Notamacropus eugenii: one gene and its partners. The protein of the gene in region 3 interacts with the protein of the main gene of each other region in a biochemical or structural test. Links are inferred from orthologs where the notes say so. Each region holds a gene or a part of one and is shown on either strand. Other genes may lie near its edges. The genes, in order: ARFIP2, CYTH1, ARF6 and CYTH2.

Region 1 (6,944 bases), on a different chromosome or scaffold from region 3:
AGAGGAGGGCACTTATTCCTGCTCCCCTCAGCCCCTCCTAGGGAGGAGGTCCACTGATCCTCCACCTAGGAGGGCTTCTTGGGGACAGGGGCCAATCCAAGGGGGCAGGCCTCACTGCTCCTGTAGCCAGGAGTGCTTCTTGGGAGTGGAGGGCCAGGCCAGGCCATCTCACTGCTCCTCCAGCCAAGAGGGTTTCTCAGAGCCTGGGGGCCGAAGCTTGATGTTGAACTGCTGCAGGGTCTGCTCAAGTTGCTGCTGGTTCCCAGCGAAGTAAGCGGACACGGCATTGTGGAAAAGCAGCAGCTGTTTGTGCATCACCTTGATCTGGGGGCATGGATGGGGGTCAGTTGGGAGGAGGTGGGAAGAGAAAAACATTGAGAGGAGTTAGGGGGTAGGGGTGAGGGGGACAGTTTAGCACCTTGTTCTCCTCCAGAAATTTGAGCTTGATAGCCACGTCCCCACGAAGTTTCTCATACTTCTCACGATGTGTCTGGAATGTGGCCTGGGCACTTTCAAGTCGGCCCAGAGTCCCGGCATCCCGTGGACCCAAGCTCAGTTCCTCTAAGTCTGTGCGGTATGCATCATATTCCAGTCTAGGGGAACAGAAAGAGTCATGTATGAATAAAACTTGGGGAGTAAGGCCTAAGGCGTCCTGACCTTGAGCCCCGTACTCACTCCCCACTCCAATTTTATGGCTTGTACATTCCTACCTGGCAGCCTCATATTGCTTGACAGTCATAAGAGTGTCCTCCATGGTTTTGGTGACCAGGGTGTTGATGCTGGACACAAAGAAATTGACAGCCCCCAACAGAGTCTCCCCATTCTTACACAGCAACTTCTGTGTCTCTGCATTATAACCAAATTCCTCCTGTGGGTTGAATGAACATAGGGGCCCAGAGGTCATGCCTTGCCCCTGGTCCCCTGTTGCCCTCAAAGTGGAAGGGAGGTAGGTGCACACACCTGGAGCTCGGGGGACTTCTGGCTGAGGTCAGCGAAGGCATCACCCAGGGCATGCTGAGTCTGCAGCAGGCTATAGAGGTGAGCAGTGAGTGCCCGGCCCAGCTGAAGAATACTCTCATACTTGCGCTTTGTGTCCCGTAGCAGCTCAATCTGCAGCTCCAACTCTAGGTCCACGGTGCGTGATCCTCGGCCAAACCGTTCGGACAGCAGCTGCTTTGTACACTGAGCAGGCCCCAGGCAGTCAGAGGGCCCTCCCGGAGACAAGAGCCCCCCAGAATATGGAAATACCTGCCCCCCTCCCAAGTTTGTGACTATGAGCCCCTGGAGGAGCAAGGGCAGGGGTGAAGGAAGGGATGGGATGGGATCCAGGGACCGGGGAAGAGGTAGGGCATTAACAGGAGATAGGATCTGGGGGAACCCACGGGACAGGGGGCTGAGGGGACACAAGCCCCACCTTGTAGGTGTTGATGCCCCACTTCTTGACAATGTCAAACTTCTCCCCAGCAATGCCCCGGGCCACTTCGTCACCAGGGCCAGCAGGGGTTGCACTGTGGGGCTGCTGACGGCCAGGCCCTAAAGGATAAAATTCTGTGATCTGCATGATAACCATTTCTGTCTCTATCCCCTCTTTTCTTCCTTTAACCAACAATTTCTCAGGTTTTCAACCCCAATAATTCCCCAAGTCCTCTACCTCATACCTGTGGGGATAAGACCATCAGCCGAGCCCCCATAGCCTCCTGACACAATGCTCGTCTCATTGAGATTTGGTCCAGATACCATCACCTGCTGCAGGTCCTATGAGGGGTCAAGTGGGAGTGAAGAGGGACAATTAGGTAGAGACACAGAGATGAGGAATGGAGGACTCACAGGAGAAGTTCAGAGAATTCAAGGTGTAGGAAGGTAACCTAGTTTGGAGTAGGGTGACAGAAAGTAGGGGGATTGGGAGGTCCAAGATTTGGTAAGGCTAAGGTATAGTTAGAGGTGCAAGTACAAGAGAGATTAGAAGATAGGATGGGAGTTTGGGTATTTAAAGGAGTATTAGAATAGATGGGGCACCCAGAGATGGCATGATCATGAACGTGAGGCTTAGCGAGGTCAAGGCATGGTATGGGGCACCAGGGAATTTAAGAGTAGTAAGGGTATTAATGGAACAGAGTAAGTCAGAGAATGGACAGAAGATTAAGAGTTCTTAAGTAAGGAGGTCAGGACAAGTTACTGGCACCAGGGATATGAGTACACTGGGGAGCTCGGAGCAAACAGACCCCCACCTGCTCCAGCCCATCATCTTCAGGAAGCCGTCCAGCCTCGCCATTGCCGTGGATGGGGATCTCCATGGTGGCCGCTTTCCCCAGGATCCCGTCAGTCATGGCTGGGGGAGGCAAAAGTTCGAATAAGGGCATCTATCCTCAGTAAACATATTGTACTTCCCACGGACCCAGGTGCATTCATCCTTCAGGAGAATTCTGCCCTGGACGTGGGTAGGTGTTCGTCCTCTCCCCTTGGCCGAGTTGGATGCCCCTCTTCCCCCCACTTGTCTCAGGTGGGCGCCCCTCCTCCTTCCTGGGCTCAGGTGGGTGCCCCTCCTCCCCCCTTAAACCCTGGCTTTGGCTGGGTGCCCCTCCTCCCCTCTTAAGCCCTCAGCTCAGCCGGGTCCCTTCTCCTTCCCCCTGTCCCTAGGGCTCGGGTGGGTGACCCTCTTCACCGAGCTCAGGTGGACGCAGCTAAGCGCTCCTTCCCCCCCATTGACTCAGGTGTGGGTCTTCCTCCTCCCCCCCCAGGGCTCAGGTAGGTGTCGCCCAGCTTCCTCACCTCTGGCTGGGCCACGCTCCCTTGACTTCCTTTCCTCTCTCCCGGCAGCCTCGCCTGTCCCTGCCCTGCCCTCGGGGCGCCGGGCCCGGGGCCGTCCTGGGACCTCGGGCTCCGGTTCCCTTCGCGCTCCTCGCAGCAGGTCAGGGACACGGCGGAAATGACGTTCTCTGCCGGGCAAATGAAGGCAGCCGCGTTGCCCACCGCCAGGGCGGAAGTGACACCACGAGCCGGGCCACGCCGCCTAGCGCCGTAGGCGGGGGCAAGGTGTGCGCGGTTGCGGAAGTGACGTAAGGGGCCTGCGCCCTGTGGGGCCATGGAGTCACAGCAGCAGCACCAGCAGCAGCAGCAGCAGCAGCTGAGAAACGTGAGTCGGGCTGTGAAGGTTCTCTTCGGCTCGGCGGGTCCCTCGCTCCTACCCCATGGGCCGCCGGAGCCTGGTCTGGGACAAAGGGAGAGGGAAACCCGGTGTGTTAAGAGAGGGCAGGCTGTGCGGCCGATTGTGGAGCATGCGCTCTTTGGTGCATCCTTAGTGCCAGGATCGGGGGCTGGAGGCGCGGTCTGACGTTGAGATGGAGAGGCCTGTATGGCCCGGGACGGGCAAGGGAATGCCTCGGGAGAATGCTTCAAGGGCAGGGACCCTGAGTGCTCGGGACTCCCTTTCACGTCTGAGGCTGGCTGGGGAAGGGAGTGCCTTCGGGGGCGTCTCCCAGCCCCACCCCCCGATTCCCGCTGTTCCCACGCTCGTGTGTCTGCTTGTCTGCGTGTGCAGCCTCTGGCCCCTTCCTCCGACTAATCCTGATCTGTGCTTTGAAAAGAGCTCTGGGTTTGGTGGCTCTTGTTTTGGTTCTCTGATTGATTCACGCTTTAACCTCAGGCAGGTCACTCTTCTCTCCCCCCCACCCCATCCTGTTTTCCTTATCTATAAAAGGCTGGGAGTTAAGGACAGAATATTTACGGTCACTTCTAGTACTAATTGTATAAGCCTTTTCTGTAGAAGGTGTCTTCCCCGGGACCTCATCACTCCTCTTCTCCTCTCCCCTTTGCCCCCAGCTTCGGGACTTTTTGTTGGTGTATAACCGGATGACGGAACTCTGCTTCCAACGCTGTGTGCCCAGCTTGCACCATCGAGCCCTGGATGCAGAAGAGGTGTGTGTAAGAGATGTTCTCTGTAGGGAGGTGGAAAGTGCTCCTCTGGACTGAGGAAAGAAACTGTAACTGGAAGTAAACTTGGGGAGGAGGGAGACTGACACCACCCTTCTCCCTCCTTTCTAGGAGGCTTGCCTGGACAGCTGTGCAGGAAAGCTGGTCTACTCCAATCACCGCCTAATGGCCGCCTATGTACAGCTGATGCCTGCCCTGGTACAGCAGCGCATGGCAGACTATGAGGCCACTGCAGCACTGGCAGAGACAACTGGATCTCCATCAAGCCCCGTGACTGGCCAGCATGGGGCTCTAGGCCCAGGAAGCTAAGGGATTCCTGTTCACCTACCACCTTGGAATGGAATGCTCAAATATGGGACTTTCTGATATCTGGAAAGCGTATAGTGTGACATGGGCAATTTAGGGGGCTTTCTGGGGCTATCCTGTGTCAGTTCCACCTCAGTTGTTGCTTACCAAATACCCTTATGTCATCACACCAGGGGCCCATCATCTCCCACAAGTGGTGTCCAGGCAGAGGGAGAGTAGACCAGGATATCCTCCAAATTCCAAAGGAAATAGTACAAAGGGCTAGAACCAGAGATGACTGAACAGAAAGAGAAGATTGCCTGGATCCTCAGAAGGATTGGAATACAAGAAAAGGAATTATTAGTTCATGGCAACCCTTCTGATCCCTGTCACTGAAACCCGGAGATGGCAAAACATCCCTAATTGTACCTTTCCCCCTTATCTGACCCTGCCTGTCAGTAGTAAAGTCCTTATAAGTGTCCATGCTTGTGTGTGCTTGCTTTAGGGGAAGCAGGGTATGGATTGGTTGAGACTTTTCTTGTCCCTCTCCTGGACAGGAGTTTGAGATGAAGAGAAAGATGCTGTCTCAAAGTATTGGCTATAGGATTTAGGAAGTCTCAGGCTGTCAGAGAAACTTCTTTAGGCATCTTTTGTTTCTTAGTGGCTAATTTCCTTGCCAAATCCCTATCTGTATCTTAAATTGTATTCCCTGACTTCTCTTCTAAGACCTTGATTCAACTCTCATCCCTCTTCTCTGTCTTTCTTCCCATACAAACATTTTCTCCCTTGTTTCTTTGACCCTCAATCTTCTTATCCTAAAAAAACCAAAAACTTACCCTGGACTCTGCTACCCTCTTCAGCTTTTGTTCTCTGTCTTCACTATCAAAGTCCTAGGAAGAGTAGTCTGTACTAAACTTTGTCAGTATTCCACTTTCTCACCCACTTTCTCAACACGTTCTTTGAAGCCCTGAAATCTCTTCTATCCCAGCACTATACTGAAACATTTTTCCTATGGTCATAAATAACTGTTTTATAACCAAATCTAGTTAGTCTCTTCTCCTTCCTCTTTGACCTCTGCAGCACTGGATAATCTCCACTCCTATCCCCTTCTCCCCATTTATACTCTCTCACCTAAAAGTGAACATTGCCAAAACTAAACTTAGTGGTTTCCCCAGACCTACTTAAAATTTCTCTGTTTCTAAAGTTGTCACCATTGTCTTCTAGATACTGAGGTTTACCTCTTGAGTCTTCTTTTACTGGTTTTTCCCTTCCCATGCCCAAACCAATCAGTTTTCATGACTTGTCTGTCTTATTTATAAGTATCTCTTGCAACCACCCAATCTCTAGTTCTGACACTAACTCTAGTTGTTACTCATCACCTTTCACCTAGTCTGTTATAGCAGTCTCCTGACTGATCTTTCTACATCTCATCTTGCATTAGCAATCAATCACAAGTTCAGTCACTATCAATCCCTATAACTAGCAAAATAATCTTACCAAATAATAAGTCTGCTATTGTCAAACTGACCTTGTTTGAAAATATTTCATGGCTCCCCATTGTTCACTGATTACAGTCCAAACAACCTGGTATTCAAAGCCCTCCATGATTTGTCCCCAACCTACCTTCTTAGTCTCATCTTCATTGTTCCTCTTAAACCTATACCACAGAAATACGGGATGACTTGCTTTGCTGTTGGTGTGCCTTAGGTTTTCCTGGCTCTAAGACTGCACATACTCTCTCCTATACTAGGAATGTCCTTACCCACTCTTCAAGACTCAATATAAATATGACCAAAAAACTCTGTTTTCTTCAGTTGATATCTTAAATACAGCCCTTTGTCCCTTGGTATTTTTTATCGTACCCTCAGACTTGGGGTTGGACTCCCATCCTTAACTGTGTGACCAGTTGTTAAGTCTCACCAAACCTTTCACACCATAATCTTTAAAATTAGATAATAATACTTGTACTACCCTGCCTCACAGGGCTGTGATAAAAGTGTGAGATATATGCTGTTTGAAAAATGAGGAACAACTCATTTGGGAATGACTGCATAAATTATGATTTAAAGATAGAAAGTACCATGGCATAGTACAAAGAGAGCTGGCCTCTGTTAGGAAGCCCTGCCTCTGAAATATATTAGCTGGAGAACCCTGAACAAGTTACCAAACTTTTCAGTGCCTGGGCAGTTGTCTAAGACATTAAGTTGCAGAGGAGGTACCAGTATAGGTGGAGGGAGTTCCCTCTATCAGTGAAATCACAAGTTCAGTCACTATCTCCATATCTCTTATTGATGATCTATCAATGGTATGTTGTGGTACCATCAATAGTATAAATAATAGGATAGTGGACCTGGGATTTCATTGGTGGGGAGAATTCTTGATTGTAGAAAGTTCCTCTACCAGTGAACATGAGTACCTGCTCTGTAACTTACAGTTTTAGTGCCACTTAGTGTCACTGTTAAGTGACATACTTGCCCAGAATCATACTGGCAGTATATGTCAGAGGCAAGTCTTGAACTTGGGTCTTTTGACTCAGAGGTTGATTCCACCAGGCCATACTGCCTCCCAAGTAAGAATATGAGAAATTATGGATATGAAATATGCCAAGAGAAGTCAGAATAAGAACATTGACTAAAAGGTAATGAAGCTTTAGGACATTCAGGAAAAAAATTGTATTTTCTATTTTTATTTTTAAAATCAAAATGCAGATACTTAAAAACTTTAGTTTT
Region 2 (7,557 bases), on a different chromosome or scaffold from region 3:
GCTTAACTATTTCCTGCAACACCATCTTTCTCACCTTCTCCATCATATTCAAAAATGTGAGATTATCTTTGACACTGATCACCCAAATCCAGTTATCAGTTCTGCCTCCATACCAGCTATCACATTCAACTCTTCCTCTCTATTCCCACTATACTACCTAAGCAGGAATAATAAGAGGCAGCATCTCATGCTACAATGAAAAAAGCACTGTATTTAAAGACAGTTGCAATCAGGATTAAAACCCCACTTCATTTACTTAGGAGCTATGTGGCCATGGACAAGTCATTTAACTTGCCTGGTCCTTACATGCTCTACCTTTAAAATAAACTCCTACACCTCAAGAATAATATAGTTGGAGAAGACCTCTGAGGTTGTCTAGGCACGATATTTTGGGGAATAAATCCAGCTAAGGATACAGAAAAAAAGGATTAAGTAAATAAGAAAAGAACTAAAAAAAGAGCAATTTCATGAAAACCCAGAGAGGAGCAGTCAGGAGAAGAGGGTGGTCAATAGTGTCAAATGTACAGAGAGATCAAGAAGAATGAAGACTGAGAAAAGGCAATTAATTTGGCGTATAAAATCAGTGAGGTCTTTGGAAAGTGCAATTTCAGTTTAGTGATGATGTCTAAATGTAGATTGTAAAATGTCTAGAAAAGAGTGAGTGGAGGAGTTTCAATTTCAACTGAGATAGCTACTTGAATGGGAGGCAGACCAATCAACTTCCACATACCTACTCCAGCAAAACTGTGAAGTTTTCAACAGCCTAAATAATGATCAAGTAATCCATTAAGAAACTTAGTAAGTAACTTCTTCAACCCCAGAACTGCACAAAAAGTAATGAAATACAGTAATGAAATCACAGGACCTATCCTTATGTTAATACCATCCCTGGATGTAGTGTCTTGTAAAAAAAGAAAGAAGAAAAGAAAAAAGGAAAAATGGCTTTATCAAATTAGGCAAAGTACATGAGGTTGTAGGGATGATAGTAGTAGCAATAATAATAGTAGAAGTAGCAATAGCAGCAGCAGAAGTAGCCATTACACCCATATACTTGGGCTGTTAACAATAGCCACCACAGGTCCTCCTGCATCCCTTTTCATACTGTTACTACACTGTTTCTGTTTCATACTGTTACTGTTATATACCAAGTACTTAGATCTGGCCATGTCACATCCTGGTTAATAAATATTTAATTTATTTTTAAAAATCTAAACTCTCAACTGCCTATAAAGTTAAATTGAAACTTCTTGGCTAACATTCATGACCCTCAAAAGGGTCACCTTACTTTTCCAGACTTATTTCATGTTATTCCCCTCCATGTACTTGATAGCTCAGTCAAAGCAGACTCAGTCCTCCAATCACGCCTCTGTGTCTCTGATCACATTGTTTCCTTTGCTTGAAATGTCTTTCTGTTTCCACCTACTTCTCAAATTCCTATATGTTCATTAAACCCCAACTCAAACGTCACTTGTCCATGAAGCTTTCCCTGATCCCTTGTCAGTAACAGTCTTCCCCTTCATATAATATTTTGTTCAGCAACTATTTAATGTACCCATATAATACTGTGTATTAGTTATCTGAATTTGTCTTATTCCCCCTACTAAACTATAAACTTTAAGGATGGGCATAACGTCTAATCAAAGTTTTGTACCTCCCCAGTTCCTAGCACAAAGTGTATTCTTGATAAATTTTTTTAAATGAATGAGCCAAAAAACAAATGAGTTTGCCATTCACAGGTCAAGAACATACGTTTTCTTTACCTTATCCTGGATATGGAACAACATAAAAAGGAAAGGCATTTTTATTACAGCCTCCATCTCTAATTGCAAAACTTCACTATATGACTATAAGGTTAGATGTAGTCTTCCTCCCAAAATAAAACATATTGTTTCACACAAGCCAGTGTAAATTAATTTTGATTGTAATTTAAAGATAAATTATAATATCAAAACTCTACTACCTACTCAAAGTTCCATGAACATCATTTTAATAAAAACAAAACATAACTTTAAACACACTGTCTCTCAGACACACTTTTCATAGAAAATCTACTGGAATCCAAAAATTACAGGAATATCTTTATATTACTTATAATTTCACTATTTACTGTGAGGGTGGAAAAAGTAATCCTATCACATCTACCTATCAGGCTTCAAAATAATCTGAAAGTAATTTTGTAAAAAGAAGAAAGAAGGCCAAAATACTAGGTACTTTTTTCATCATGTTTAATGAATAAAAATATCAGTGATTTTTAGTCCTAACACAGAATATCCGGATCCCAACTTGTTAATGTCAAAAACATTATGATTGATAAATACTTTCTTGACCTTGGTCAAAAAACTAATCCAGCCCAGCTTCATAACCTCTATAATTTCTGACCAAGTGCCAATTTAGAAAAAGGAGTTGAAGGTTCTGAGAAAAAGTTAATCCCCTTAATTAAGTAGTATGAGCACTGAGAGTTTAACTTCAAAGAAAATCATTTGATTTGTAATAATACACTTGTGAAAAAGGAACAGCTAACAGGGACAACTAATTTACCCTTTTTCTAAAAGAGGAGGTGAAGATAAATGAAACAAACCCTATACTATATTTTTTCCTTTCACGTGGAAACCCTGCAGTAAGAAGAAACCGTAGCCTGGTTAATTCTCAACCCCACCCAAAAAAGGCAAAAGGCCTAGTAATTCTGTCTTCAAGCTTCACATTATTAGTCAACATACATACAGAAATTTTCCGTCCTATAATAGAAGTTAAGTTTTGAGTATGATATTGAACTCACCTTCCTCTTCCTCTGTTTTAAGTACCATTTTGTCCAATTGGATAAAATATGAAGGTCTCAGTCAAGTTTATTCCTCTCAATTGATTTCTTCTGGTAAAAAAAAAAATGTAACCAAAGAGAAAGCTTTCCAAACTAAGTAAGATTTTGTGGGCCAGAAATACCTGTAAATCTGTCTAGCCACTAAGACAGCTCAGAGCTGCTTCCTGAACTGAAAGCTACAAATACACAGAGCCAATCAGTAAACAGCCAGAAAAGGAGTGTCATTCCCTGTTGAATCACCACCACCTAGTTCCTGTCAAGCTGAAGTACCTTCCTATAAAGAAAGTTAACTCTTTTAGCACCTAGAGTTTGTCTAACAGGGTGACAAATTGTTAGAGCAGTTCAACTCTCTTCACAAACACAAGCAAATCAGATTTAACCACTAGAATTGCCTGCTCTCTTATCCTTTAGCCCCAATTCTTAGATTACAACAGGAAAAAGCCCTGTCTTCTCATAATTAGATTATAGTTTAGTTCAAAAGAGGATGACTAGTCAGAGTTCATGACATCACAGGTCAAATAGGTAAGATTTTACAAGCCAATTAAAGTTCAAAACCTTGCATATATAGTAAGCTCAATAAATGGATGGTATGAACACGCAAAACACAAATCTAAAGCAAAATGCCAAACATGATGAGTTCTTCCTTAATCATCAAGCCACTTTTTCTAATGTACCTACTCAGCAACTTTTTTCTTGTACAACCCCTATCAAGTCCAATGTGACTCTCATATTGATGGAGATGAAAACCCAATCTTTTTCAAGGGGCGTGACAGTGTTGGCAAGACATCAAAGACTTTTACCAGTCCACCTTCAGGGATTCATCCTTTGGGTGCTCCTGACTTCCATCTTTGAGAAATAAGATGAAAGAGTCCAATCCCGTGAAGTGGGTTACTACTCTAGAGTTACTACTCTAGAGATTCAGGGGAGTATTCCCCTTGGGGGAGATCTCAATAAGAGAGTTCTTTCATTCTGTACTGCCTGGTATATATTCTTATATGTAGACCTTCTCTGATTTCTGTTTGCCACGATTTGGATAAATAGGTTTATTTGTTACGTGTATTCATTGTGGAACTAGTATTAAGTGGAAAAGTAGTCAAGTCTTGGATACAAAGTTTGGGGTCCCCCTCCTTCCAGAAATGATAAAGCGATCAAAAGTTAGATAGAACCTATCTCTTAGATGAACATTATTTAAGGAAGCACATAGATATATTTCTGGGCCAGAACTCTCTCACTTTCATTGGGGGTAAGTCAGTTCAACTAAGAGAAGGTTATGGATCTCACCCAAAGGGAATACTCCCTGAAGTCTCTAGAGTAGCAAGCTGGGAATAGGGACTACCTCCTCCTTTCATGTCTTCCCAGAGTCTTTTCCTTTAGCAACCTGAACTTCTTCCATCTTCTCTAAGGAGAGCAGAGTAGTGACCTCTGGCCCCAACTTCCTACGTCCCCTCATACCAGGAATGAAAGTCTCCTATGGAGAAGGGTGGGGATGAAAGAGGCTAGAGATATCTATTCTGCCTCCCTCAGCCATACAAGGATTGATTTCCCATTCTCTTCCTTCCAACATTATCTTTTTTTTTTCTTAATTATTGCTTTGGTTTCCTGATTAGTCTTCCTGTTTTATTCAGATTTATCCTTTTCCCTATCTATCCTCCATGTAGCTGCCAATAGTGATATTTATATGATGTGAGTTTGGCAATGTCACTCTCCATTCTGTAAATTCCAGTGGCTCTCTAATGCCTCTAGGTTTAGTGCCTGGCACATAGGAGGCATTTAATAAACGTTTGCTGACTCGACTGTGGTATCAAATATAGATGCCTTTATTTGCATTTGAAGCCCTTGATGGCCTGATTCCAGCTTCCTTTCCAGTCTTATTGTAACACTGTTCCCCTTCACATGCTCTGTGGTCCTGCCAAATAGACCTTGCTGTTCTGCACACATGACATTCCAACTCCTATATGCATGCTGGCACTACTACCTCCTCTCCTCTGCCTCCTGAAATCCCTGGCTTTCTTCATGGTTTAGCTCAAACACCACTCCCTATATAAAGCCTTTCCTAATCCAGTCCAACTGCTGCTCTTTCCCCTGCTCTCAAAAAATTACCTTGACAGTATTTTACATATCCTTAAATGCATACATGCTGATTCCCCCAATTAAATGTTAAGTTCTTTGTGGGCAGGGACTGTTTGTCTTTGTACTTCTAGTGCCTAGCACAGTGATTAGCACACAAGAGCTGATTAATAAATTCCTGATTAATTTATCTTGGTGATTTTGTTTGTACCACCTCCTGTGGTCAAAATGGACTTCTACTGATCCCTTACTCCCCCCAGTTAATCTCCATAGGCTGAAATACATCCTTCCCTTCAAGCTACAATTCATGTACTTTCTCCTTGATGAAGACTTCCCTAACTCTATCCAATTGATTCCAAATTTTTCATATCACTTTGCCTGAAAAATTCCTTTGTACTTTTCACATTCTTACATCTCCATTACTGATATCACCCTAGTCCCCATATAACATCTTAAGTACCTTGAGAAGAGAATCTGTGTCACTGGTATCTTCATATCCCCAGCATAATCTTTTGCATATCCTAAATGCTTGATAAAAGTTGATCTAATAGAATGTTTATGAAGCATACATATATATAATATATTTACATATATTGTACATCTGAGAACTCCTCCACCAATGTAGATCAGCAACTTGTTTACAATTTCATAGTCTTAGAGAGTGATCTCAGGCACTGAGAGGTAAAGTGACTTGCCCATGGTAACACAGCATGGGTCAGAGTAAGGTCTTTGAACCCCTGTCTTCCTGACTCCCAAGCTGGCTTTCTATCTACTAGACCTCTGAGGTGAGGTATTTACAACTGAGAATTTTGTCAAGAGAATGTATGCTTCACAGATAGGTTGCAAATGGCCCTAAGTTCTCTTCCAGCTATAAGTCTGGTTCTAGGAGTTATACTTTAATATTTCAGTGAATCTATATCCTCTTAAATGCAGGTATTCTCCTCTGATGATATGGGTGGATTTTACTCACAGAATCTAGTAGAAGCCTTCCTAGTAACATTACAAAGGATACCAGTCCAGTTCTCAATATCTTATCTACTGCTCCTTTCTGACCATATATTTCCTGGATGATTTTTATGCCACTTCTTATGCACTCGTCAATTTTGGTAATATGCTGACATCAAATTATGCACATATTTTTTTTTCTATTGCCCTCTGGGTCTCCCAAAGTTTTAAGTTTCTCCCCCAACAAGTTTCATCTTATATACATGCTAAGATTCCTTGACAGAAGCAAAAACAGACAACTCTGTCCAATAATGTCTGATTATTAATGTCAGGCAAGAAATAAAGCTGAAGAGATATGCTTGCTAAAAATACTCACCAGAGTCATAGAGGATATCCATATGTTCAAATAGAAGAAAAAATTCACAATAAGTGATGAGGTCTTCAGCTGTTCTTGTTTGTGGATGACACTGTACTGATAAAATAAAGCCACAGAGCACTACAAAGCCTCACTAATAAGATCCATAACTCATTCAAAAGAGTTTAGCCTAACAAACCACAGAAGAAAATCCAAGTAGATGAAAAATGCTTTGTGCCCAGACTATCATATGGAATTGGATATATAACTCATTGAGTTAGTCCCTCATTATATTTATTGTGAAGAAAAAATGTAGAGAGACAATGAGATGGTTCCAGAATTAAATAAAAGAAACAAAAGTTGGCTGGAATTTCATTTAGGAAACTGAATCAGAAACTTATCTTTGTAAAAAAAAATTGTTATTTTTGTTGATAACTTTTGTTTTTAAGTCACAATCATTTCTCAATATTGCATCCCTGTCCTACCCAATAAGCCCTCCTTTATAACAAATGTGTTTTTAAAGGGGGAAAAAGTAGTTCAGCAAAAACTAATTAACATATCCACTACGTCTGACAACATATGCAATATTCTATACTTATAGTCCCTTCTTATCAACTCTTTTCCAGGACCAACTCTGGTTTAGACCAACACTGTTTCTTTTTCTGTTTATTCAGCATATATTGTTATTGTCATAATATACATATCCTTTTCTTGGTTCTGTTTTCTTCTCTCTGCATTTGGTCTTCTTCGGCAACGAAGAAAGAATACACACGCATCAGCTTATACAAGTTTCCCCCATGCTTTTCCATTTTTTTCATATACATCTTTTCTTAACATATAAGTAACATTTAATTACACCCACTTACCACAACTTGTTTAGCTACTCCCTGATCAAAAAATGACTACTTTGTTTCTTGTTGTTTGTCATTAAATAGTGCTGCTCTGAATATTTTTATGTATATAGGACAAAAGTATAGTGGGATCTCAGGGTCAATGTGTATGGACAGTTTAGTCATTCTTTTTGCATAATTAACAATTGTGGTCCAGAATGGTTGAGCCAATTCACAATTCCATTAATGGTGCATTAAAGTGTTTGTCTTTCCAGTCCCTCCCACACTGACTATTCTCATTTTCTATCACCTTTGTCAATTTGCTAGATATAAGGTAAAACCTCAGAGTTGTTCTTATTTGCATTTGTATTATTGATGTTTTGGAGCAATCTTTCATATGTTTGTTAATAATCTGTAATTATTCTGAGGAACTGTTTGTATCCTTTAAGCATTATCTACTGGGGAATGGTGCGTGTTCCTACATATTTGTGCTAATTCTCTAAATATCTTAGAATCCAGATTCTCATCAGAAATAATTGATGCCA
Region 3 (6,870 bases):
TAACTATAAGTTCCTTTACATGTATAGTACATACAAAATAAATAGAAGGTAATTTCAAGAAGGGAAGACACTGGCAACTGGGAGGATCAGGAAAACATTTCATTTAGGAGATGGTATTTGAGAAAAGCCTTGAAGGAAACCAGAAATTCTAAGAAGCAGAGCTAAAATGAGGTGAGGGCAAGTATGTTCAAAGCATGAAGGCAAGTACAAAGGTACAGACCTGAACGATGGAATGCTACAGTATATGTAAAGGAACAAGAAGGCCAGGTTAGTAGCATTGTAGGAAGCCTGTAAGGAAAACAATGCATAATAAGCACGGAAGGGTAGATCTCATAATTGATTGAAGGGTGCAGAGAAACTTTGTATTATATTTGTCTGCTGATTTTTTAAAAAATTGCTTTTTATCACCTTAAAGCCTCTCCTGCAACAAGATGTCTTCCATGCATGTTAGAAATTATATATGATTCCTTGGAAGATGTAAGAGAGAACTCTATTCAATGAACCTCTGCTTATTAATATCAAGATAGGGACTGGACATCTGAGATGATGAGATGTCTTCTATCAATGTAAGTTTGGCCTTTCTCTGCAAGTCTTAGAAAGTTACCTAGATGTTAAGTGATTTGCACAGGGTCACAGGCAGTATGCCCAGGGATGACATTTGAAACTAAGTCTTCCTGGCTCTGAGGCTAGCTCGCCCTCTATCCACTATGCCACTGTTGTTCAGTTGTGCAGTTGTGTCCAACTCTTCATGACCCCAAAGGCACATCCTTCTGTCCTCCATGGGTTTTTCTCAGAAACCACTCCAATGGAACTCCTTTCCTTAGAACTCTCCATTACAACCTGTCCTTCTTGGGTAACTCCATATGTCATTGCTCATAATGAAACTATATTATGTGGAATTACACAAGCACCTCTGCCAAAACAAGGAAGAGGTGATCCAGGAGGGCACCACTGTGCCATGTGGTCTCACTATTAATATCAAATGAAGCTTAAAACAGAGATATGTTCGTCAAAGGTGTTGGCACTGTCATGCAAGATTTCCAGAACTGAGTCCAGGTGGAAGATGGTGATCTTATAAATGGTGATGTTCCTTTCAGATAATGATAGCTGGCATTTATATAGCACTTTAAAATTTACATAGCAATTGTTATACGTGACCTCATTTGATCCTCACAACTCTGAGAGGCACATGATAAAATCTCAATTTACAGGTGAAGAAACTGAGGATGAGAGAGGTTGTAACTTGCCCTGTTTACATTCAAACTCATGTCTTCTTCACTCCAAGTCCAACATTCTATGCATTTTGGGTCACCTTGCAGATGTCATTGTTCTGATAAGACCTGCAACATTGTAGATGTAAAAAGGATCCATAATCACTCAAAAGAATTTGGTCTATTTATCAACATAGAAAAAAAATTAAGAATGCCTATTTTCTAAATGAAGTAGTAAGATGATCTATCACTATATGGACAAACAATGCAAAGAGGATAGGTGGGGAGAGGTAGAACTGAACAGGAATAAGAGCAAGCTAAGGAGACTGTTATTTTTATGATCCCTAACTTCTCCATATAACAAAACTCAATATTCTTTCAGTGATACTATATGGCCGTGATCATGAAATACCATATTTTCCAAAGCATCAAAATTATGGGTAACATCATTAAAAAAAGCATTATAAAAAAGCAGTGCAAAAGATCAAACATGATCCTTTATACTTCATTACACATCAAAGTGATGTCTAATAGCTAGCTAGTATTTATACACCAGGTGAGGATTTGCGAAGGGCTTCCCTCATGTTATCCCATTTGATCCTCAACTCAACTCAGTATAAAAACAGCCATTTCCAGATCCCAGGTCACAGATTCTCTAAGGCAGGATTTGAGTTCATGTCTTACTAGCTATACCACCTGGCTGCCATAAGGCATAAGAAAGTTGGCTGGTCATGTAGCAAGAGTGAAGGACAACAGAAGGTATTGGCAGATAGAAGGACAAGACCGTGTTCCCCACAGTTATTCACATGTTAAGAGCCAGCACATTGGATACAGGAGGCAGAGGCAAAGTCATACTGAGTGAGAAAGTGCAGGAGTGAGTTGTGATTGGTACGTGGAGGGAGAAGTCATATGGCTGATACCACAGATCCTGTGAATTACTGGCTTAAGAATTTTGTTCTCTTTCATAGAGCAATTTACTTCACCTTTTAATTTTGTACCTTCCTATGAAGAGCAACCTGCCATCTCTCCAACTACTCAACGGAACACCAAACCCAATTTTAAAAAACCATTCTTTTTTCACTAGTTCCTCTTTCTGCCATGGCTAAGTTCCCATTATTTTAGTTCTGATTTGTACTGGTATCACTAGCGTTCATGCACGTATTTTAACTCAGCTGATCTTCACAACCCTCGGAGGAGGTGGTGGTAGGAAGGCTGTGGAAACTGAGACTTGTCTGAGTGAAGTAAAGACAAATCTTTTTCCTCTGGTCGGTGCTTTTTCAATACTTTGTAGATACCATGATATAACTTCTTGGCATTTAATAAAAACTCCCTTGGAATAAAATGCAGGCTAAGCCTAGGAGCAGGAGAGGAGGACAGATCTGCGGCTGGAAGGTTCTACAGAGGAGGAAATCGGGCTCGGGAGGTCGGAGGCCAGGTCCGGACCGCTGGCAGACTTCGGCTTCACTCACGAGGTTCGGCTCAGTCCGGACTGACACGGACTCGTACATTTCAAAGGATCCTGCCCGGGGGCGGGAGCTTCCACTGCGGGACACCGTGAAGCACACGCACACGCACACAGGCAGCCACAGCACGGTTTTAAAACTGAAGGGAAACGAGGTTTTCTAAAGTTTCGGCAGCCGGGGAGGCGCACAGGGCACACCCAGGGCCGGCCTAGCCCAGCGCGGGGCGCGCCGACGGGCGCAGGAGCGGCCGCGTGGGCTTCTTCCGTACGTCTTCCTCTAGCGGCGCGGCGTGGCGCGGCGCAGGGCAAGGCGGGCGGCGAGGTCCGCGGGGGCGTGCGGCGCGGCGTGGCGGGAAGCGGGGGGCGGAGGGAGAAACTACGAAAACGGGGTCAGGCCGGGGCGAAGGCCAGGACGGAATGAGGGGAGCGTTTAGTAGGCGGGGGGCAGGCAGGCCCTGCACGCCGGAGGATTTTCCCGAGGATTCCCGGCCCTGGAAGTGGTGAAGCGGCCGGAACGAAAGAAATGGAAACTTAGGGGAAGAAGAAGAAGGAGAGAGGGCGGGAGAGCCACCTCCCAGCCTTCCTCTGGATTGGCCCGCCCCCTCCGTCACCCGCGGGAGCCCTTCGGGCCACCGTAGTCCGCGCCTCTCCTTTTCCCCGCGTGGCGCCGATGACGCGAGGCGCTGAGAGCACTCTTCTTACAGAGGTCCCTTTCTTCCGAACAGTCGGTTGCCCGCCGCTGCGCCTGCGTGGCTGAGAGGGGAAGTGAGGCGGTTTCCTCGGCGCCTTTTCCGGCTGTGGCTGGGGCTGAGCTGGGAGGAGGAAGAGGAGGCGGCGGCGGCAGCAGCGTCGGCCGGGGGACCCTGCATACAGGGCGGTGGCCGGAGGTAACTGCTTGGGCTGGGTGGGGAAGGAGGGTACTCAGGTCCTCCATTTCTTTCCCCGGAGTTCCGGCGGTAATCCCCTTCTCCCTTTCTTTCCTCTCTGTCTCCTTCCAGGTAGCTCACCGAGTCCCTCCGGGGATCAATGACCTGACGAGGAGCCGGAGCCGCCGCTGTCGCTCGGGTGGCGAGGGTCGGTGTTTCGGCGGGCGGGCGGGCCGGGGTCTCCGGCGGCTGCGGGGCCAGGAGAGACGGCAGGCAGCCCGAGGAGCGGGCCGAGCGGGAGCGGCGGCGGCGGCGCTCGGTGCCTGGGGGGGAAGGGCAGTTCCGGGCTGGGCCTCACCAGGGCGGCGGCTCCCCGCGGCGCAGCTTTTGGCCGGCGGCGGCGGCGGCTGGAGGAAGCCCGTCTTGGGGCCGGTGATGTCCCACTGAGCGGGGCCCCGGGACTCGGCCCCTAGGCGGCGGCGGCTCCCCCATTGCAGGCCGCAGGGCGTCCTCGCGGCTGGGCGGGACCGCTTCGGTTTCCTGGAGGCTGCGGCGGCGGCGGTGCCTAAGGGGACGCGGGACACCTGAATGCCCCCAGCCCCGGCTTCTCCGACGCGATGGGGAAGGTGCTGTCTAAGATCTTCGGGAACAAGGAAATGCGGATCCTGATGCTGGGGCTGGACGCCGCCGGCAAGACCACTATCTTGTACAAGTTGAAGCTGGGCCAGTCGGTGACGACCATCCCCACCGTGGGCTTCAACGTGGAGACGGTGACTTACAAAAACGTCAAGTTCAACGTGTGGGACGTGGGCGGCCAGGACAAGATCCGGCCGCTCTGGCGGCATTACTACACCGGGACCCAGGGGCTGATCTTCGTGGTGGACTGCGCCGACCGAGACCGCATCGACGAGGCCCGCCAGGAGCTGCACCGCATCATCAACGACCGGGAAATGCGGGACGCCATCATCCTCATCTTCGCCAACAAGCAGGACCTGCCTGATGCCATGAAACCCCACGAGATCCAGGAAAAACTGGGCCTGACCCGGATTCGGGACAGGAACTGGTATGTGCAGCCTTCCTGCGCCACCTCAGGGGATGGACTCTATGAGGGCCTCACATGGTTAACCTCTAACTACAAATCCTAATGAGCATTCACCGCCCATCACACCCCCCTCCCCAACTCCCCTCAGGAGAGAAATAAAAAAACATTCATAGGATTATCACCACCATCACCTCCAAAATGCCACTTTCTCTTCTTTTGAATATGGACTCTGGAGTTACTGTTTTACTGTTTGGGGGGGCTGGGGTTTGGGGGGTTTCTTTTGTTTGTTTTCTTTCTTTCTTTCTTTTTTTTTTTTGCTTTGCTTTAGGACGCTCTAGTCTGACATTTGACATGAACACAAAGTACTAGGTGCTCTTGTTGACTTCCAGCAAATGGGGTGGGGGAAAATATAGCAGCTCTTGAGATGGTCCTTTATAATAATGGTTTGATTTTTTTATTTTGAGGGAATCTTTTTTTTCAATGTATGTCTCCCCCCTTTTACCCAGTTACCTTATCACTTGCTGTAGATGGCTTATTTTGCATTCATGCAGACGATGTTGCAAGTCTGTTTCATCTAGTAAACTGAAAATTATTGCTTAATCAAACTGCAGTCTGTCTTTTATATTTAAGGACTCTTTTTTTTTAAAGAGTTCTAACTTTAGTAATTTCAGGTGTGTCTTTTCATATCTAAAACTAGAATGGTAAAACCTTGCCTGCAGTGGCAAACAAGTGATACCATTGTAATAACTTGCAAGTGCAAATCCGTAATGTTAAGCAGGTAATGTAAGAAGTGCTTTGAAATGTTAGCTATTAAGTTCTGAAACATACATCTTGCATGACTAGGGATAAGACCAAATTTGCTGTACCACATAGCTAGCTGTTTCCTGAATGAAAATGTGAAAGTTTGAACAGGCCATAGATCTCGTATTGAAAAGTTAGCAGTTGTGTTGAATTTTCTCTCGTTGCTTTTTTGTTCACTTCCGATAGTAGTGTAAGAATTATTCAGGCAATAGAGCAATAATGGTACACACCACTTTGATAGCTGAAACATTTTGTTACATTTTGACAAAACATGCTTTTTTTTAGTTGGCAGATAAGATAGCAAAAACCAGACAGTGAGTTTTGATAATTACTAGTCTGTTTATTGTGGTCAGTTCTGAAATATTTTTAAAAATTCAAATTATCAATCTTTTTTCCAAACTGCAAAAGCAAACATTCCAGTTTCCCTATCGCAGAAGCTGATTAAGTTGAAGAAATAAGTAATTTTTTTAGAGTTTACAAATGACCTATATCTTAATTATCAGTGAAAAAGATGGATTATTTTTTAAAGTTTGACTTAATTTTGTGAGAATGTAGATTTAATTCATGGAGGTGGTAATCAGATACTTTATTAGTTCACATTTATTTAAATTTAGAAGGAAAGGAAAATTGATAGATGACTAGATAAAATCCACTGATAAGAAATGCCAAGTAAATAGTGGAAAATATGTAGGTAATGATCCTACATATGACGATGAATGTAAATTTATAAGTCTTGTGAAAGATAACCAGTTTGTCCGTTTGTCAGCTACTGTCAGTATAACTAGATTACATTGTTAACCAGATAGTTGAGAGTACTTTGAATCAAATGTTAATAACTTGATATAGAATTGTGCAGCAGAAGCTGGTTCTTAGCCTCAAATATTAATTTTTAGAGATCATTAAAAAGTTAAAATTTGGAATTTAAAGAATGTATACTATAAAATCAGAAATGAGGTGGTGTGTGTCTGTATGTTTGTGTGTGCACTTGGGGTTTATGAAAAATCCGCAAAAGTTTGAATGAGACATCATACTACAGTTGTGCAGTATTAATCCTGCATGTTTTTTGACCATAAAATGTATGATGGTGCTTTTTACCAAAGATATGAGGGGGCTTAAGGTTATAGAAAATTCACTTCTTGACATGAAACAACTTGGACAAATATTTTACTTAATAGACTAATAGATAATAAACTGTTTCTATAGAATTTATATGGAATAGGAATTAAAATTTCTGCTGTAACTTAGCAGTTTAACTTCATTCAGGGGCAAGGCCTACTGAAAATTAGGTTGAAGAAATAAAACATTTTGGGTACCCTTACAAAAGATTTCTAAGGCTCCATCATAAATTTAATTCATAGTCTTTTGAACGATTCTAATTTTTAAGGTACATAAAATGTTTGTAAAATGATATTCAAATATCAGAATGTACTAGTAACATCTGGAATAAGATAAGCACAGAAAATTCCCAAACTGGAAGAAAGTTGAAGC
Region 4 (6,854 bases), on a different chromosome or scaffold from region 3:
GAGGCTGCCCCAGCCCCCAGCCCCCTCCCGGCCGGCCCGCCCGGCCCTTTCCCCAGTGCTCCACCCCGGGCGCCGTACCCAGTTTGAGGAGCCAGCCCTCCCGGTCAGGGTTGAAGAAGGTGTGGGTCAGGTCATTGCCATCATCCTCGGGGATCTTGAAAGGCTCGTTGCGGATGCTGTCGTACAAGTTCTGAGAGGAAGAGAAGGGAGGGTGCATGAGGACCTCAAGCTGAGAGATGTCTGGGAGAGAGGGGCAGCTCACAGGAGGGAGGAGGATAGAGGCTGCAGGGACCCAGGCAGGGAGGGAAGGAGAGCCCAGCCAGGCAGCAGCAAGAGCCACAGCAGAGAAGGCCCAGTGCTTGCAGGCTCAGGCTGGCAGGGGTGGAATGGTGGCAGGAGATGCCGGCCGGCCCACAGCGATGGCAGACAGGGCCCTGGCCCAGCATTTATGGGCACAGGCTAGGTGTTGTGGGGGGAGGTGGCAGGAGAAGCCAACCAGCCCACGATGATGGCAGAGAGGGCCCTAGCCCAACATTTGTGGGCACAGGCTGGTGCTGATAGGGGCAGGTGGCAGCCTCACCCTGAGCAGCTCCTCGGGAAGATCACCGCCGTCGTTGATGCCCCGGTTCATGGTGATGAACCGCTCGACACCCGGCTTGTCTCTCACATTGGGGTTGTGCAGGCTGGTGTTGAGCATGATCACCGCAAAGGAGAGCACGTAACAGGTGTCTGCACTCAGAGGAGGGGCAGAAGGAGAGGGGAAAGGGGAGCTCACCACCTTCCTCTCTGGGAATTCTGGGATTGCAGGGAAGTCCCTAAATCGGCCTCCCTGAAAAATTCCCATGGCCTACTCCTGCCCTGCCCTCAGCCCCACCACCCCACCCCATCCCATCTGCCTTTCTCTGCATCCCCAAAATGTGCCAGCAAACAGTGGATACTGTGGTAATGTTCTGAGTGCCCTGGGTCAGGCCCACCTGTGGACTGGAAGACTCCCGGGTTGCACAGGCAGTAGCGCTGGGCGAAAGCCTCCATCATGCGGTCAATCTTCTGGGCCTCCCCAGGGAGGCGGAAGCTCCATAGGAACTGTCTGAGGGGGATGGAAGGCAGTGAGGAGGGGCAGCAGGGAAAGGACTCCCATCCCTTGCTATGGGAGCCTGAGAGGCAGAGGGGCAGCAAGGAGAGGGCCCCCCTGGTCACAGGTTGGGAGTGGACACACTGCCTGTCCAGGGTCCTACAGAGGTGGGCTCTGGTCTTGGCTGTTTTCCTTAAGTAGGGGGGGCTTGCAGTCACCTCAGTGCCTGAACCAGGTTGAGGTCCGTGAACTCATGCAGATCCACAAAGGCATGGAGGACAGCCAGGTTCAGTTCCTCCCTGGGGGGAGACAAAGGGCACACTGTGAGCTGCCCACCCCATGCCCACTCCTGCCCCATGCCCACTCCTGCCTCATGCCTATGTCTGCCCTGTGCCCACTCCTGCGCCCTCACCGCTCCCCCAGGTAGTCTCCGATGGCCGTCTTGTTGAGGCCTTCACCCTTGTACAGGAAGCGGGAGATCTCCTCAGGCGTGTTCTGCAGCAGCTCATTTTCCACCAGGAACTGGATTCCCTGCGGAGGGATTAGGAGAGAGGGTGGGAGTGAGGTGGGGTCTGATGGCCCCCCAACACTCCCAGATAACTCTGCCCTCAGCCCTGGCACCTTCTTGGGGTCCATGTTGAACTTCTTTCTCCCCATGGCCATCTTGCGGTTCCTCTGCAGGGTCTTACTGCAAGGGTGGGAAGGGGAGCTGTGAGTAGCTAGGGAACCTTCCACCTACCCACACCCAGCTGGGGCTGGGGTCTCGGGGCTCCCAGCTGGGGTTTCCTGGTGTCCCCTAGGGTCTTGGGGCTCCTGGCTGGGGTCTTGGGGCTCCCGGCTGGGGTCCCCTGGGGTCTCAGGGCTGACTGGGGTCTCAGGGCTCCCGCTGGGGTCTTGGGGCTCCCGGGGCTCCCAGCTGGGGTTCCCTGGGGTCTCAGGCTCCCGGCTGGGGTCTCCTGGGGTGTCGGGGCTCCTGGCTAGGGTCTCGGAGCTCCCAGCTGGGGTCCTCTGGGGTCTCGGGGCTCCCGCTGGGGTCCCCTGGGGTCTCGGGGCTCCCGGCTGGGGCTGGGTCCCAGGGCCCCCCAACCCCTTCTCTGACACCGAAGGGTGGCCCAGGGCAGCCAGCTCCGCAGCTGCACCAACAAGCGTGTCCTGGGCACCAGCCGCCACGCTGCCCACCTGCCCTCGTTGGCTTCCAGCCCCTCCACCTCGCTCATGGCCTCGCTGAGCTCATCGCGGAGCCGCTGGATCTCCACCAGCAGCTCCTGCTTGCGCCGCCGGATGCTCTCCAGCTCCAGGCGCTCCTCGGGGGTCAGGTCTGGGGGTACTGGGGGACACGGGGGGGGGGTGAGGGCTGGCCGCAGGGGTGGTGCGTCCGCGCGTGACCGCGTGCGGGGACATGTCTGGGGAAAGGTGCGCAAAGGTCTCCCGGGGAAACTGAGGCAGAGAGCACGGACAACACTAGGACTAAGTTTGGGAGCGGGGTTGGGGGAGAGAAGCCTTGGATTCTTCCCCCTTATCTCCACTCAACTGCCCCCCCAAACTCCACCCTCGCCTTCATTCTTTCCTGGGATGATTCCCCCTTCCAAGAAAAATGGTGTCTCCCGATCCAAGGGAGCCCCCCCCATGTGCGCCTGGGATAGTACATCCCATAGGCAGGAAATGGACTCGCCCAGGGAATGGTTTCGACCACGCCCCCCTGCGCCGGCCGGAAATGGTATCGTCCCGAACAATGGAATGGAACGTCCCGTCGCCTCCCAGCCCCCCAGCCCTCCGGAGCTCGCTCCGCGCTCGCCTCACCATAGACTCCGTCCTCCATGGTGACCAGGGCAGCCCGGCGCGGGCCCGTAGCGTGGCTCGGGCCACCGGTTCTCCGCAGGTCCTTGGGGCTATGCTCAGCCCCTTCGGCCGCTCCCGGGGCCGCCGCCGCCACCGCCTCCGCTCTCGTTTGGGGCCGCCCCCCGACCAATGGGAACCTGAGCTTGGCTTCCGTGGGCCCAATGGGCGTCGAGGGGCAGGTTACCTGGGCCAATGAAGCCCGGCGGAGGCGGGGCGTGAGGCGGCCGCGTTGCCTCGGTGGACAAGGGGAGGGTGACCGAGCGAGCCAATGGAACTCCGTGGAAGGGGCTCAGGGCCCCGCCCCTCAAGCTGGACCCAATGACGGTTGGGGCCCGGCTCAGGAGGGCGGTGCGCATAGAATCGGGAGTATCAACCCCTGAAAAAGTGACAGGGAGCAGACTAGGGAAGGCTTCGGCTTGAGATGGGCAAGAGTGTCTGCGCCTGCGTGAGAAGGCCGAGAGATAGACGGGGGGAGGTAGCCTTTCTCCAAGCCGGTGCGTTGCTAAGGGGCGGCAACAGAGCTGGGATCCAGAAAGAAAAAAAGTTCCGTTGCTTAGCAACAGCTGAAGGCTGTGGAAGAGGGCGGTGTTTCTAAGGGAACCCACCCTGTGCTTCTACCAAATCCTTTTCCCTTCTCCCATGGACTCCTCCCCTTCTTAGACTCCTGCCCTCTCCTCTGGCTCCTCCCCTTTTCTCTGGCTCCACCCCTTTCCCTCTAACTTCTCATCATTTCTTCAGATCCCATCATTCTCAAACTCCTCTCCTCTGCCCAGACTCTTCTCAGACTCCTAGCCTCACTCTGGGCCCTCCCTTGACTCCTCCCTCTCTATCCAGACTCCTCCCTCTCTATCCAGACTCCTCCCTCTCTAGCCAGACTCCTCCCCATCTCCCCTTGACTCCTCCCTCTCTAGCCAGACTCCTCCCCATCTCTCTTGACTCCTCCCTCTCTATCCAGGCTCCTCCCCATCTCCCTTGACTCCTCCCCCTCTATCTAGACTTCTCCCCTTCTCCTCCACCTTCTCCTCATCTCCCTTGACTCCTTTTCTATCCAGACTCCTTCCCCTCCTCATCTCCTCCCTCTCCATGCAGACTGCGTCTTCCTCTGGAGGTGTCCCTCTCCCTTCACCTCAGTTCTCACACTCTGTCTGTTTCCTCCTGCCTCCTCTCGGGCTCCTGTCCTTTCCCCTGTTCCCCCACATAGTTCCTAGTAGGGATTGCATTTCCAAATTGCTACTTCCTGCCTGGGGGAACCTTGACCAAATCACCTTTGGGTCTCTTTTCCCATCTCCGAAATGATGGAGTTGGCCCAGATGACCTCTGGCCCCTTGCAAATCTAACTCTGCCTTTGTGCACCCCTCCCCTTTTCAGGGTCCACGCACCACATCTCTAGTGGGAGCGAATCTTTGACCTCTAATCCAATCCATTTGTTTTACAGATGAGGTAACTGAGGCCCAGGTTCTCTGAGTGCACAGTTAGGTAGGGCTCTTTTCTTGGTGAAGAAACAGGAGGGAAAAAGGAGGTGATGACCCTGCTGTGGCTCCCTTCCTCACCTCCAGGTGACCAGCTTCCCCCAGGGATTAGCCATGGAAAAAGTTTCTGCCTCTTAATCCCCTCCCTGTCCCTGTTCTGACCTTCAGGAAGTCTGAAGCTCCCATATTCTTCCTGGTATCCAAGAAGGGGTCCTAGGTCTTCTGCCATGCCCTTCTCCCTAGGCTACCTCCTGATCCCACCTGGGCATCCTCAGCACTCCCCCCACCCTTTGAGGCCTCAGGTCTCACCTTCTCTCCCCCTACAATCCTGCAGCGGCCTGGCTAATTAATTCCTTCCGGTCCTTATCAGGGTTACTGATGGATAAAGGCCATAGGAGGGGGGTGGGGTGAAGGGGGAAGACAGGGCTTCAGAGGGATGAAAGAGACCTTAGGAGGCTGGGGAAAGAGGGATGGGGCCTCTGGAGGATGGGGGACTGGGCAAAAAGGGCCATGAGGTCTCTGGAGTACGGTGGGATATGGGAGAGCTGGGACCCTGGGGAAAGACCCTGAACCCAAGCATGGGCTCCAGGAAGCAGGAGGGAGCCCAAGGTCCAGGTTGTGAGGGGTGGGGTTGGAGGGGGGAGGATGGAGGGCCCAGATGGGATCCTGGGTGCCTCCACTCTTTCCCCTGACTCAAGCCCCCACTGCAAGCTGGCACCTCTCCCTAGGCACACTCATGAAAATGAGGCATTGGGCCAAGGGCCAGGACTGTGGGTGGCAGCCACCCCTCACCCCTCTCACCCAGACACACATACACACACACACACACAGATGGCTTCACAATTCTTTATTCTGGGGGCAAGGGCAAGCCGGTTCCCTCCACCCCCAGGCAATGGTGGAAAGGACCCCAGGGTCCTTCAGTCTCCTCCTCACTTGCCCCAGAGCCTAGGCAGGGGCAAGGCAGGGCAGCCCAGCCCAGGGCTCAGTCTGGGGTGACTCATGCTGCAGCTTTCCCAGTGTCCAGAGGCCGTGCCAGGTCCTAACAGGAACACCACCTGCTTTGTTCTAGGGCCTTCCAGTAAAGTCTCCAGTGAGGCTAGTGAGCGATGCCACCTCCCAGGGTGCGGAGGTCATAGGCTCCCCAGCTGGCAAAGCTGAAGGAAACACATTCCAACCCGCTCTGGTTAACAGGAGAAACAGAGGGAAAGGGGCTGGATTCCAGTCTGAGGTCTCCTGCTTGCCCAGAATGACCTCCTTCCTGAGACCAAGGCCACTCTTGCCCACCCCTTCTGCAGCAAAATCAGGAAAAATTATGGAGAGTATATATGTATATATATAAATGTGTAGATAGTTAATATGCACGGCATTCTGGAGAAAGACATTGGCTACTTGGGTGGCCCAGAGCATCCAGGATGCTTCTTAGCCTGGAGGCCAGGCCAGGCTCCTCATGGCCCCAGGACCTGGGACCCTCCATGGCTTGTCCTCTCCCAAAACAGGGGCCTGGACCAATGGGTATCCTGGGTCCCAGTCTTTTCTTGAGGGTGAGGGGTCTAGAACAACCCTGGCCACCCCCTACCTCTTGGACTCCAGGCAGGATTAAGCCCAGAAGGAAAGGACTTGGGAGGAGTCACGTGAGGGTGTCCATAGGGGTAGAAGGGAGGGGGACCTTCATTCCCCCTTGTTGGGAAACTGGTGAAGAGGGGCTATGGATTCAACTCATCCAGAAGGTTCCACCCATAAACCACCTCCCCCATTCCTAAGGTCCAGGGTTCAGGAAGCATGCATTGCCTCCCCTTCCATCCTAGCCCATGCCCCACAGAAGGAAGGGGCTCTAGGGCTGTAGGGGAGTCCCTGGGCCTAGATTCCAGCTGCTCCCCAACCTAGGACTACAACTCCCACAACTCCTGGGGAGGGGTGTAACATGATGCACCACTGAGGCAGCCAAGGTCCATGATACTGGGAATTGCAGTCCCCCAGCCCTTCAAGGAGGTGGGGCCAATTCAGGGGATGGAGGTGGGGGTGGGGTGGGAGCTCCAGAGCTGCCCTCCACCTGGGCTTCACCCCTCTCTTCCTCCACCTCATCTTCCTCCTGGCAGCAGCTGAGGGCCACCTCATTTTCGTAGCAGAAGGCAGCCAGGGTGCCGGGTAGGCCACCCTTGGGCCCAGGGCTGTCACTGTCCCCCAGGGCCCGACGCTCCTCCAGCTCCCGAGCACTGCAAATGGGGGTCCCTGGCACCTCGTAGGTTCGGTGAAAGTGACGATAGTCCACCTCATAGTGGGCCCCTCTCTGGAAGAGCACAGGCTCAAAACGGTGGCCCCACAGGAGTTCCCCTGGCAGATAGGACGAGCGGCATTGGGTGGTCATGGCTGTGGCTTCCACCATGCCCTCCAGGATGACCACCAGCTCAAAGTCCGCCCTGGCCAGCTCAGCCCGGCCCATCTCGTACAGGGGGCTGGAAGCATCGATCTCATGG

Evidence for each region.
Region 1: the proteins of ARF6 (region 3) and ARFIP2 form a complex in vitro, tested with the Homo sapiens proteins (2 studies listed by BioGRID). The link is inferred for Notamacropus eugenii from reciprocal best matches to the Homo sapiens genes ARF6 and ARFIP2.
Region 2: the proteins of ARF6 (region 3) and CYTH1 form a complex in vitro, tested with the Homo sapiens proteins (2 studies listed by BioGRID and IntAct, with this or other methods). The link is inferred for Notamacropus eugenii from reciprocal best matches to the Homo sapiens genes ARF6 and CYTH1.
Region 4: the proteins of ARF6 (region 3) and CYTH2 form a complex in vitro, tested with the Homo sapiens proteins (3 studies listed by BioGRID and IntAct, with this or other methods). The link is inferred for Notamacropus eugenii from reciprocal best matches to the Homo sapiens genes ARF6 and CYTH2.

Annotation. Positions count from the first base shown.
Region 1 is NC_092876.1:89,003,396-89,010,339, reverse strand, and holds the start of ARFIP2 (arfaptin-2), read right to left. Parts: upstream 3,019-6,944; 5' UTR 2,770-3,018; intron 2,330-2,769; 5' UTR 2,328-2,329; coding exon 2,229-2,327; intron 1,756-2,228; coding exon 1,659-1,755; intron 1,534-1,658; coding exon 1,415-1,533; intron 1,183-1,414; coding exon 961-1,182; intron 869-960; coding exon 711-868; intron 594-710; coding exon 419-593; intron 325-418; coding exon 169-324; 3' UTR 1-168. Other genes in the region: TIMM10B (mitochondrial import inner membrane translocase subunit Tim10 B), read left to right, coding at 3,083-3,133, 3,820-3,915, 4,042-4,239. UniProt on the Homo sapiens protein: Plays a role in constitutive metalloproteinase (MMP) secretion from the trans Golgi network. May have important functions during vesicle biogenesis at certain cargo subdomains, which could be predominantly utilized by secreted MMPs, such as MMP7 and MMP2.
Region 2 is NC_092873.1:320,236,764-320,244,320, forward strand, and holds the start of CYTH1 (cytohesin-1), read right to left. Parts: upstream 3,002-7,557; 5' UTR 2,805-3,001; coding exon 2,777-2,804; intron 1-2,776. UniProt on the Homo sapiens protein: Promotes guanine-nucleotide exchange on ARF1, ARF5 and ARF6. Promotes the activation of ARF factors through replacement of GDP with GTP.
Region 3 is NC_092872.1:332,282,623-332,289,492, forward strand, and holds the start of ARF6 (ADP-ribosylation factor 6), read left to right. Parts: upstream 1-3,860; 5' UTR 3,861-4,156; coding exon 4,157-4,684; 3' UTR 4,685-6,870. UniProt on the Homo sapiens protein: GTP-binding protein involved in protein trafficking that regulates endocytic recycling and cytoskeleton remodeling. GTP-bound form plays an important role in the transport of multiple palmitoylated proteins form the Golgi to the plasma membrane.
Region 4 is NC_092876.1:12,827,901-12,834,754, forward strand, and holds the start of CYTH2 (cytohesin-2), read right to left. Parts: upstream 3,025-6,854; 5' UTR 2,892-3,024; coding exon 2,873-2,891; intron 2,476-2,872; coding exon of another isoform or gene 2,400-2,475; coding exon 2,252-2,399; intron 1,761-2,251; coding exon 1,694-1,760; coding exon of another isoform or gene 1,604-1,693; coding exon 1,485-1,603; intron 1,372-1,484; coding exon 1,291-1,371; intron 1,088-1,290; coding exon 975-1,087; intron 730-974; coding exon 581-729; intron 191-580; coding exon 1-190. Other genes in the region: KCNJ14 (ATP-sensitive inward rectifier potassium channel 14), read right to left, coding at 6,362-6,854. UniProt on the Homo sapiens protein: Acts as a guanine-nucleotide exchange factor (GEF). Promotes guanine-nucleotide exchange on ARF1, ARF3 and ARF6. Activates ARF factors through replacement of GDP with GTP.